2 linked regions of the Daphnia pulex genome follow. The protein of the gene in region 1 interacts with the protein of each later gene in a pairwise test. Links are inferred from orthologs where the notes say so. Each region holds a gene or a part of one and is shown on either strand. Other genes may lie near its edges.

The links.
Region 2: the proteins of serine/threonine-protein phosphatase 4 catalytic subunit (region 1) and immunoglobulin-binding protein 1b-like interact in binary tests that used the Caenorhabditis elegans proteins (3 or more experiments, as listed by UniProt). The link is inferred for Daphnia pulex from reciprocal best matches to the Caenorhabditis elegans genes pph-4.1 and ppfr-4.

What each region holds. Positions count from the first base shown.
Region 1 is NC_060025.1:1,447,677-1,452,184, forward strand, and holds serine/threonine-protein phosphatase 4 catalytic subunit, read right to left. Parts: upstream 2,897-4,508; 5' UTR 2,806-2,896; intron 2,420-2,805; 5' UTR 2,149-2,419; intron 2,016-2,148; 5' UTR 1,998-2,015; coding exon 1,848-1,997; intron 1,788-1,847; coding exon 1,635-1,787; intron 1,573-1,634; coding exon 1,399-1,572; intron 1,335-1,398; coding exon 1,208-1,334; intron 1,140-1,207; coding exon 947-1,139; intron 883-946; coding exon 753-882; 3' UTR 153-752; downstream 1-152. Other genes in the region: probable chitinase 10, read right to left, coding at 3,133-4,007, 4,073-4,508. UniProt on the Caenorhabditis elegans protein: Protein phosphatase which plays an essential role in meiosis and in early embryonic mitosis.
Region 2 is NC_060028.1:6,377,056-6,380,648, forward strand, and holds immunoglobulin-binding protein 1b-like, read left to right. Parts: upstream 1-1,541; 5' UTR 1,542-1,607; coding exon 1,608-1,724; intron 1,725-1,801; coding exon 1,802-2,520; intron 2,521-2,587; coding exon 2,588-2,804; 3' UTR 2,805-2,875; downstream 2,876-3,593. Other genes in the region: endoribonuclease Dicer homolog 1-like, read left to right, coding at 373-463, 518-593, 651-792; uncharacterized protein LOC124209844, read right to left, coding at 2,963-3,072, 3,135-3,436, 3,502-3,547. UniProt on the Caenorhabditis elegans protein: Probable regulatory subunit of serine/threonine-protein phosphatase PP4 which may play a role in meiosis and embryonic mitosis.

The sequences.
Region 1 (4,508 bases):
ATTACCTTATCAGCTGATTCATCACGCAATGTTGTTTCGGGACAGCGGTGATAATAAAAACGATCGTAAAAATGAATAGCCGTTATGACTCAATGTTGAGAAAGTAAACATCGAGCCTTGTTTTCGAAACTAATGCAGGTACACTAAACATGTTTTCGTCTCAAGTCCATCGTTATTTCAAGAAATTGTATACAGTGCATGTTGAGAGCCATCGCAAGCATCACATTCATAATAATATAAATGGGTGCAACACAAACAAAAAAAAAAAGATTTTGGAAGCATGGCCATTGCATCAATATTTAGCACTGATGTTAAAAAATAATTACACACGTCACACAATTCGCCCCCAACATACCATAACCGCACGTACACAAAGATATTGTTCATTAAACTGAGTAGTGGGAGTAGCTTATAGTCAGATGTGATATCCTGCAGCAAAAAGTTGAAAAGGGAAACTGAACACTTGTTTGGACGATCAAGATATATTTTTATTATAAAGGACAAGACTGTGTTTACCAAAAAAAAGGAAGGGATTGGACAGAACAGAATTTTCAAAAACCTATTTGTTAGTCCGGGCGGTCAAGGTAAATGGTCAACCAACATGATACAGGCTCTTTTGCTCTGTTTCAACTGATGGGGTATCTCACATCAGTTACTGTTTTTTTTTTGTGTTTTTTGTTTTATGCATTACCGAATAATTATTTTTGTAAAAAATCGCAGGGGATATATCAACGATCAACATTTCGCGTTTCTTATAGGAAATAATCGGCTTGAGGTTTTTTGGAAGGAATGCCACGAGTCTCTTGAGGGGCAGCTTCAAAAATCGTGAATTCTCGATGGAGATTTTCGTCCAATTCCAAAATGGCAGCTACATTTCCACACCTATTGCAATATTAAAAGTTTAAGTAATCATCTTGGTGAAATCTGGCGGGAAATTAAGACAAACCTATAGCAGTAGTTGGGGGCAGACCACACCGTCAGCACCGTTTCGTTAAAATGCCATTTGTAGCCTTCCATGACAAGCTGGTGTGCTCTGCAAATCATTTCGATGTCATTTGAGGTGTTGAAATGTTGCACAACATCGGAGCCAAAAAGATAACCGGCACCGCGTGGACTCACTCCCCATCCTTGCTGTGTATCTGTCAAAAGCAAACACCCAGAAATGAATTACCACTTTCAGAAGTATAGCCAATATTTATTTTCCTACCTTCAGGATCAGACCAAAGGAGATCACACATAGGTCCATCGTGAGGAACTTCCTGCTTTCTGTCAATTATTCGGATTTGATCCAGTGTCTGAATTGAAGGAGATAGCCCACCATGCACACAGAATATCTAAAATTTGAAAAACATGTCATGTTAGAGTTTTTATCAATGCATGTTACTACTGGAAGCATACTTTGCCGTCAATGATGGCTGAAAGACTCAGGTAGTCGAAAATTTCAGTACAATAGCGCCACACAGTGACTGAACCATACTTTCTAAAACATTCGTCATAGAAACCATAAACCTGGGTAATTTGACGTGATTCATGGTTCCCTCTAATCAAAGTGATGCGATCTGGATAACGAACCTAAGAAAGAAATCTCAAATCAGAAACAAGAGAAAGAAATGCTTAACAAAAATGTATACTACCTTTAAAGCTAATAGGAGAAGAAAGGTCTCTACACTGTAAAATCCTCGATCAACAAAATCTCCCATGAATAGATAATTTGTGTCTGGAACATCCCCACCCACTTTAAAAAGTTCTTTTAAATCATAAAACTGGCCATGGATATCACCACAAACCTAAAGCAAGCAAAAAATGTTAGTTATTGAGCAATAATCAAAAGCTTATGAGAAACCTACTGTGACAGGAGAGTCAACACGCTGAACATTGCTTTCTTCAACCAGAATCTCCCGTGCTTTGGCACACAAGGCTTTGACTTCTGATTCTTTAATGATATCACACCGTCTGAGTTGTTCGATCTGTCGATCCAAATCACTAAAGTCTGACATATTTACGTTGTCTGTTTCCTAGTTGACGAGAGGGAAATAAAGAATAACGACCTTGAGTATGTGCAACAGCCGACCGGTGATGTCATACACATTGACTTGGTAAATGAGGAAACTGACATTACACAGAACGAGAATAAGATAAAAGCTTTACCTCTTTGCGTTATTAATGAAATATGAGTGGTGATGGCGAAGAATGAATTCGTGACTGGATAAGTTGACGATCGAGAGTTAAGCCACGAATTGAATCCGTCCTCGTCGTTCTTCAAAGCTATCCTTACTTCCTTGGCTTGCCTTACGTTGCCGGACAAAAAAACTGGGCTTCAATCTAAACGCCATTAAATTATTCGGCGTTGCCAAGTTTCTCCGCAGTTTTAATTTCAAGCGCGCTTTTTATTCCTTTTTGTTGAAATATCGATATTGTTCTGAAAATGATTTACAAATATCTGGTAATATTATTAGTAAGAAAAAAAATTTACAAATAAAGATAACATCGCTAGCACGCTAGTAAAAAAAATATTTCGATACATTATTTATCAATTTTGAAATATTCTCTGACGTCAGTCGGCCTTCAGCCCGATGTTTGCTACCAAAACATGGTCACGATGGGTTTCGTTTATTCAAACGGGACCTTAACTAACGCTGACATTCAATTGATATTTTATTTCTCAGAATTCCTTTGGATTAAAAAAAATCGATTGCTTGAGACGGGCATGTTCAGGCTGATTTCTCATTTCTGATTCAGTCAAAACACAGATCTTCTGACGGTCGTTTACTTGTTTGCAATAAAGACTTTCATAATACAACCAACCTTGATTCAAGCCTTGGAAATCTGGTCTTTACAATGTAGCCGTTAACCCATTACTTATTTAAACACTTCCTGTTTCGACACTTGACAATGCCACTCGGCACTCGCTCAATCGACATTGGAGTTGTCAAATTTCTAATTCATTTTTAACGCAATTTTGCAACAAAAAAATAAGAGTTCTCTTGGCTTACTCAATGAGTATATCAATTAACAACATTTAATTATCACTCGTGTGTATTGCGGGCCGAATCAATCAGATTTTGAATATATAGTAATAAGATTTAAAATATTAGAAATGATTAAAAATTGTTAAATTTGAATTCTAACGTCCTAGATAACTAAATTAATTAAAATAAACCCGAAAGCCAAAAATGTAAGTTGCTGACTATTGCCAGCAATTCGGTGCCCATTGTTTGGTATGAATGGCGTTTTCGAACTCGTAGCCTGTGTCGACTCCGTCGTGACTCTTGGCCAAGTGGACAGTTTGGTAGTGGATGGACGGGGTGTTGTTGGCGTTGTTGTCGTTGTCTCACCCGTAGTCGTCGAGGTGCTGGCTGTAGTAGTCTTGGTGGTCGCCGCCGGTGAAGTCGTCGTAGTCGATGTCGTCACCCCAACAGTTCGTGAAATGTTGGTCATAATAGGATTGGGTCCATCACCACAAGTGTTCCTAAAGTCGTCGGTACTCATGTCCCAAACCATGGCTCCGCCTAGTCCCCTCTCCAGAACGTAGCGACTTTTGACATTGGCCATGACGGGATCGTCGTAACCAACCCAAGTCTTTGGCACGCTCGGAGTGGAAGCGTATGGACCGATTTGGAATGTCGGATCGACCACCACCTCCCAATTTTCGTTTTTCACATAATTACAGATTTCGTTGTATCCTAACGTTCCCGATTCACCGGTTAAAGGTCCTGCAGCTCCAGGTCCCAAACCGGGTGCCGGAAGCGTGGGATCCTCCGTGTAAGTATAATCGAGTGTCCAGGACTTTCCGTATAGGGGAATTCCCAGCATGAGTTTTGAGGACGGCATACCGCTATCTTTCCAGTACTGGACGACAGCATCGATATTGTTGGTTTCATCTGTATCCCAATCTCTTTTATAGAGCGGGGCGTGATGGTCAGTTAAAGGTTCCCATGGCCCGTGCATATCATAAGCCATAATGTTGATGTAATCAGCTGTCGTGGCCAACACAGGTATGTCGTATCCTAACGTTGAAAAAATGTATTAAAAAAACCTTTTTATTTCATATACACTATTGATTAATACTGACCGAGGTCGCTAATGGTTTTATTGACTCCCACAGCGATAGTGAGTGAATATTTCGGTGTCTGTAAATTAAATGCGGCTCGAAGTTCCTTCATTAATTCAGCAAGCCCAACTTTGTCGGACGCACTACTCGGATATTCCCAATCGATGTCCAGTCCATCAAATTTATACTTGTCAAGAAATGCCAAGACTGAATCGACAAAAGTCCTTCGGTTAGTCGAGCTGGCCACCATGTCCGAATATTTGGTGGTTCCGTCGTGAGAATCTGTCCAGCCCCCAATCGCGATGGTTGTCTTCAATTTCGAGTTTTGTTTCTTGAGATCGACGAATTTTGAATAAAATTTATTTTCTCCTAAATCAATTTCAGGTTCAAATTCTTTGATCTTGTAAGTTTTCCCATCCAGGATTGCAAAAGCGTAGACCATGTCGGTGCAGAGTGT
Region 2 (3,593 bases), on another chromosome or scaffold:
TACTAGATTGCCAATTGTCCACATTTCTTTTCCAAACATTTGATTTTTTTTTGCTCCTTACTGTCTTAAAAATAAAATTTACTTCTAACCTGAAACGTGAAAGTCGCAAAGAGTGCTGCAGTCTAATACGCATTGCGTATACTAGATTGCCAATTGTCCACATTTCTTTTCCAAACATTTGATTTTGTTTGCTCCTTACTGTCTTAAAAATGAAATTTACTGCTTACAAACGAATTGCGTGTGCTTGCTTTTCAAGGCCTTTTCAAATCGGGCCGAACCAATCACATGCGAGAAAGGGTGGGCTAAAATTGCGCTGGGGTAGTGGGAGCACGTCTCTAATTTGGGAAAATTCTAAAAACTCGGCGGTTATAGCCGGATATAGCCCTTGCCGGAGCTATATTCGAAGACTCGGGTTATTCTAACGACATTACGTGGGCGGTTATCGCCCCACTTCTTGCCCCCGGTAGATTTGAATTAATTTATAAATGTTCAATTAACTCAAAATTTTAAATTTCAGATGGAAAGATCAGTTACTGGCCTAAGAACCCTGTCCAGACGATTCATCGTAAATATGGAAAAGCTTTGCAATTTGCGTAATATAATTTGACATATTACTAAAAAAAATTTATAATGTTTTTTTTTTATAATAGAGAAACAAAGATCATGGGTTTGACCCGTGTTACGCTTAAAATTGATGCAATCCCTATCAGTAGAGGTTTGGCAAAAAACGTCAGTTGCCAAAAGTGCAGCAGCAAAATACGCGTTGAGTATACTAGATTGTTAATTGTCTAGCATTTCCTGTTTAAGCATTTGATTTTTTTAATTTTTATTCTCCTTATCGTTCTTAAATATGAAATTTAAGTCTTACAAATAAATTGCGTGTGCTTGCTTTGCAACTGGTTAAAATTGGCGATGTTCCAGTCTGCAGAACCATCGAAAAAAGTCCGAGTGACAAGACTACCCAAAACCTAGAAGTGCAAATTTATACTCGATACATGGTTGTCAAATAGGGTTATATTGGGTGATAAACTGAGCAGAACCAGAGTCATCTAGCCTATGGTCGCTGCAGTCAACGTTAAATTCCAATAGCCCTCGACGACCATTTGCAACATCTATCTAAAATAGGGGTTTAATTAGGAGTAAAAATAGGGGTTTTCATATTTGGGGGTCCCCATATTTCCCATATGGGGATTTGACGGGAAGCTACTTTTTACTAGCGACTTTTGTATGGAGGCATAGGGAGGTCTCAACGAATGCCACGCCATCTAGGCTGTTGCGGCATACGGAAATACATTGAGACCCCCCTTTAGTAAAATGAGCGGAGCCCCCTCTTATGGGAAATTTAACAGGGAGACTGGAAATATTGAATTTTTTTTAATGGTTTAGTATCAAAGTTATAATAAAGTTCATGAAGAAAATCTCATGATGCAATTTGTTTCTGGTTAAAACCGGTTCTTAATGACTCCACTACGTGGTATTCATGGATAGTTGGTGTAATCATTTTACGAGTTACGACTACTAGATGGCAACCCGTGTAAGCACTGTCTCAACTTAGTAGTCTATGGCTCTATGCTTCAGTATAAAAACATAGCATTAAGAAAACGGAAATGTCGGCCGATTTAGAAGATGGATCTGAAACGGTGTCAGGGTTGTTTGACAAAGGATTGAAGATATATCATGGATTGTGTGATACCATGGATCCTTCCAACAGTCCTGAATATCAGGTATGTAGTCAGTATTCTATTCAAAGAATTTCTTGGTTTATTGTGTTTTTCAAACTATTTTTTTGAATGATTTATAGGCTAAAGTTAGAAGTTGCATTCAAATACTGGAGGATGCAACCAGACTTGTCAGCTCCCTTGGACTCTTTAGTACAAATGAAAGTGTTGATGAAGTTGCAACCAATGATTTGAAATTTTTCCTCTTGCCAGTGCTTCTTGGGGATTTGAGTCTGAAACTCAATTCAGATGACCGATTAAATATTCTTAATGTTGCAGAAGTTTATTTTCAAGATTTTCTTCAGCGATGCAAGGATTATTCAGTTGGAGGATTGGATATCCCTGACAGAGATCAACTTGTGAAATGTGAGGAACCACCAAGACATCCTGGTCCTATGGGGTTTGAAGAAATGGCAAGACAAAGAGAGGAGAAAATCAGGAAATTCAGAGAAGCCAAGGACTTGGAATCGAAACTCATTGAACTCAAGAATGCTCTTGAAAACCCTAGTTCAGATGAATCAATTGCACGTGAATACTACATATTATTGATGAAGAAATTTGTTTTCTCAACTATTGAAGAACTTAAATCCATAACTCAAGAAAAACCTATAGTTGAACACCTCATCAAAATTAAAAGAGGCGGTTGTGATGCCAAAAAATTACCACCATATGTGGGCAAACCATTGAAACCTATCATTATTACAAGGGATGCCGTCCAAAAGGCAGTTTACGGATTAGGATATCCTAGTATTCCCGCTATGACGGTAGAAGAGCTTGTTGATCAAAGAATGAAGGATGGATGGTACGTGTATTTAAAGCAACTAAATTAATTTATCAGTTCTAAAATCAATTTAATAAATGGGATTTAGGTATGGAAAATTAGGTGAAACCTCTGGCAATTCTCGTTCTCTGCTTGATGAAGCAAAAAATACAGAAATGGCCGCTTTGAAAGCGGAACAAGAAGCAACAGATTTAGAGAGAAAGGCTGAACTAGACCAAGAAGAACAACTTATCCGAGCTCGCCAATATGATGATTGGAAGGATGACCACAGGAGAGGCTACGGGAATCGGCACAACATGGGCTAATGTTATGGATTAAACATTGAATGTAATTCCAAAAAGAAACCCGTCAAATATAAATTTGCTTGTATAACCAACATTTGTATTCTTTCGTGTAAGATATTGCATACCTCTCAAAATATAATTCTTTTTAGATTACAAGAACAAATAGGAAATCAAAATCTTCAACCAAAATGTGTGGCCGAAAAGCCTTCATTTACATCATTGTTATTTTCTTCTTTATTTATGGGAATGTCACCGACACGTTCAGGAGTCAAAGAATTTATCTCTGCGTCTAGATGAAAGAAAAAATTAGTAGAGGAAATAGCAAGTATGTAAACATGAATACCGACTTACTTTGCTGCTGGGGTTTGGTATATTGAGTAATCCGTGATTTAGGTGTATACGAGGAAACCATTGCCTCTTCTGTTTGTGGAAATCTGTTGGGTGAGTGACTGATTCGTCCGCTACGAGTGACATGCACTCTCGTAGATGGGCTTTCAGATATGTTGATGTGCGGGTGAATTCTTAGTTCCTCAGTTTGACCATATCTATCGGGGGAACGAATTGGTCGCCCACTACGAGTAGTACATTGTGCCGATGGGGAAAATTGTATCTTGGGAATTCCAAGGAATTGGCTGGGTGGCAGAACTTTTTCCCTAAAATAATAATAATTTTGCTGTTACAACTGAAATTGCAAAGGAAAAGAATTGCAATAGGCTACCTCTTAGCTAAAGATGTTGGAACAAGAGGATGATCCAATATAACATCTATTTTTAAAAAATCCAATATCCATTTTAATCTTTTAATTTCATA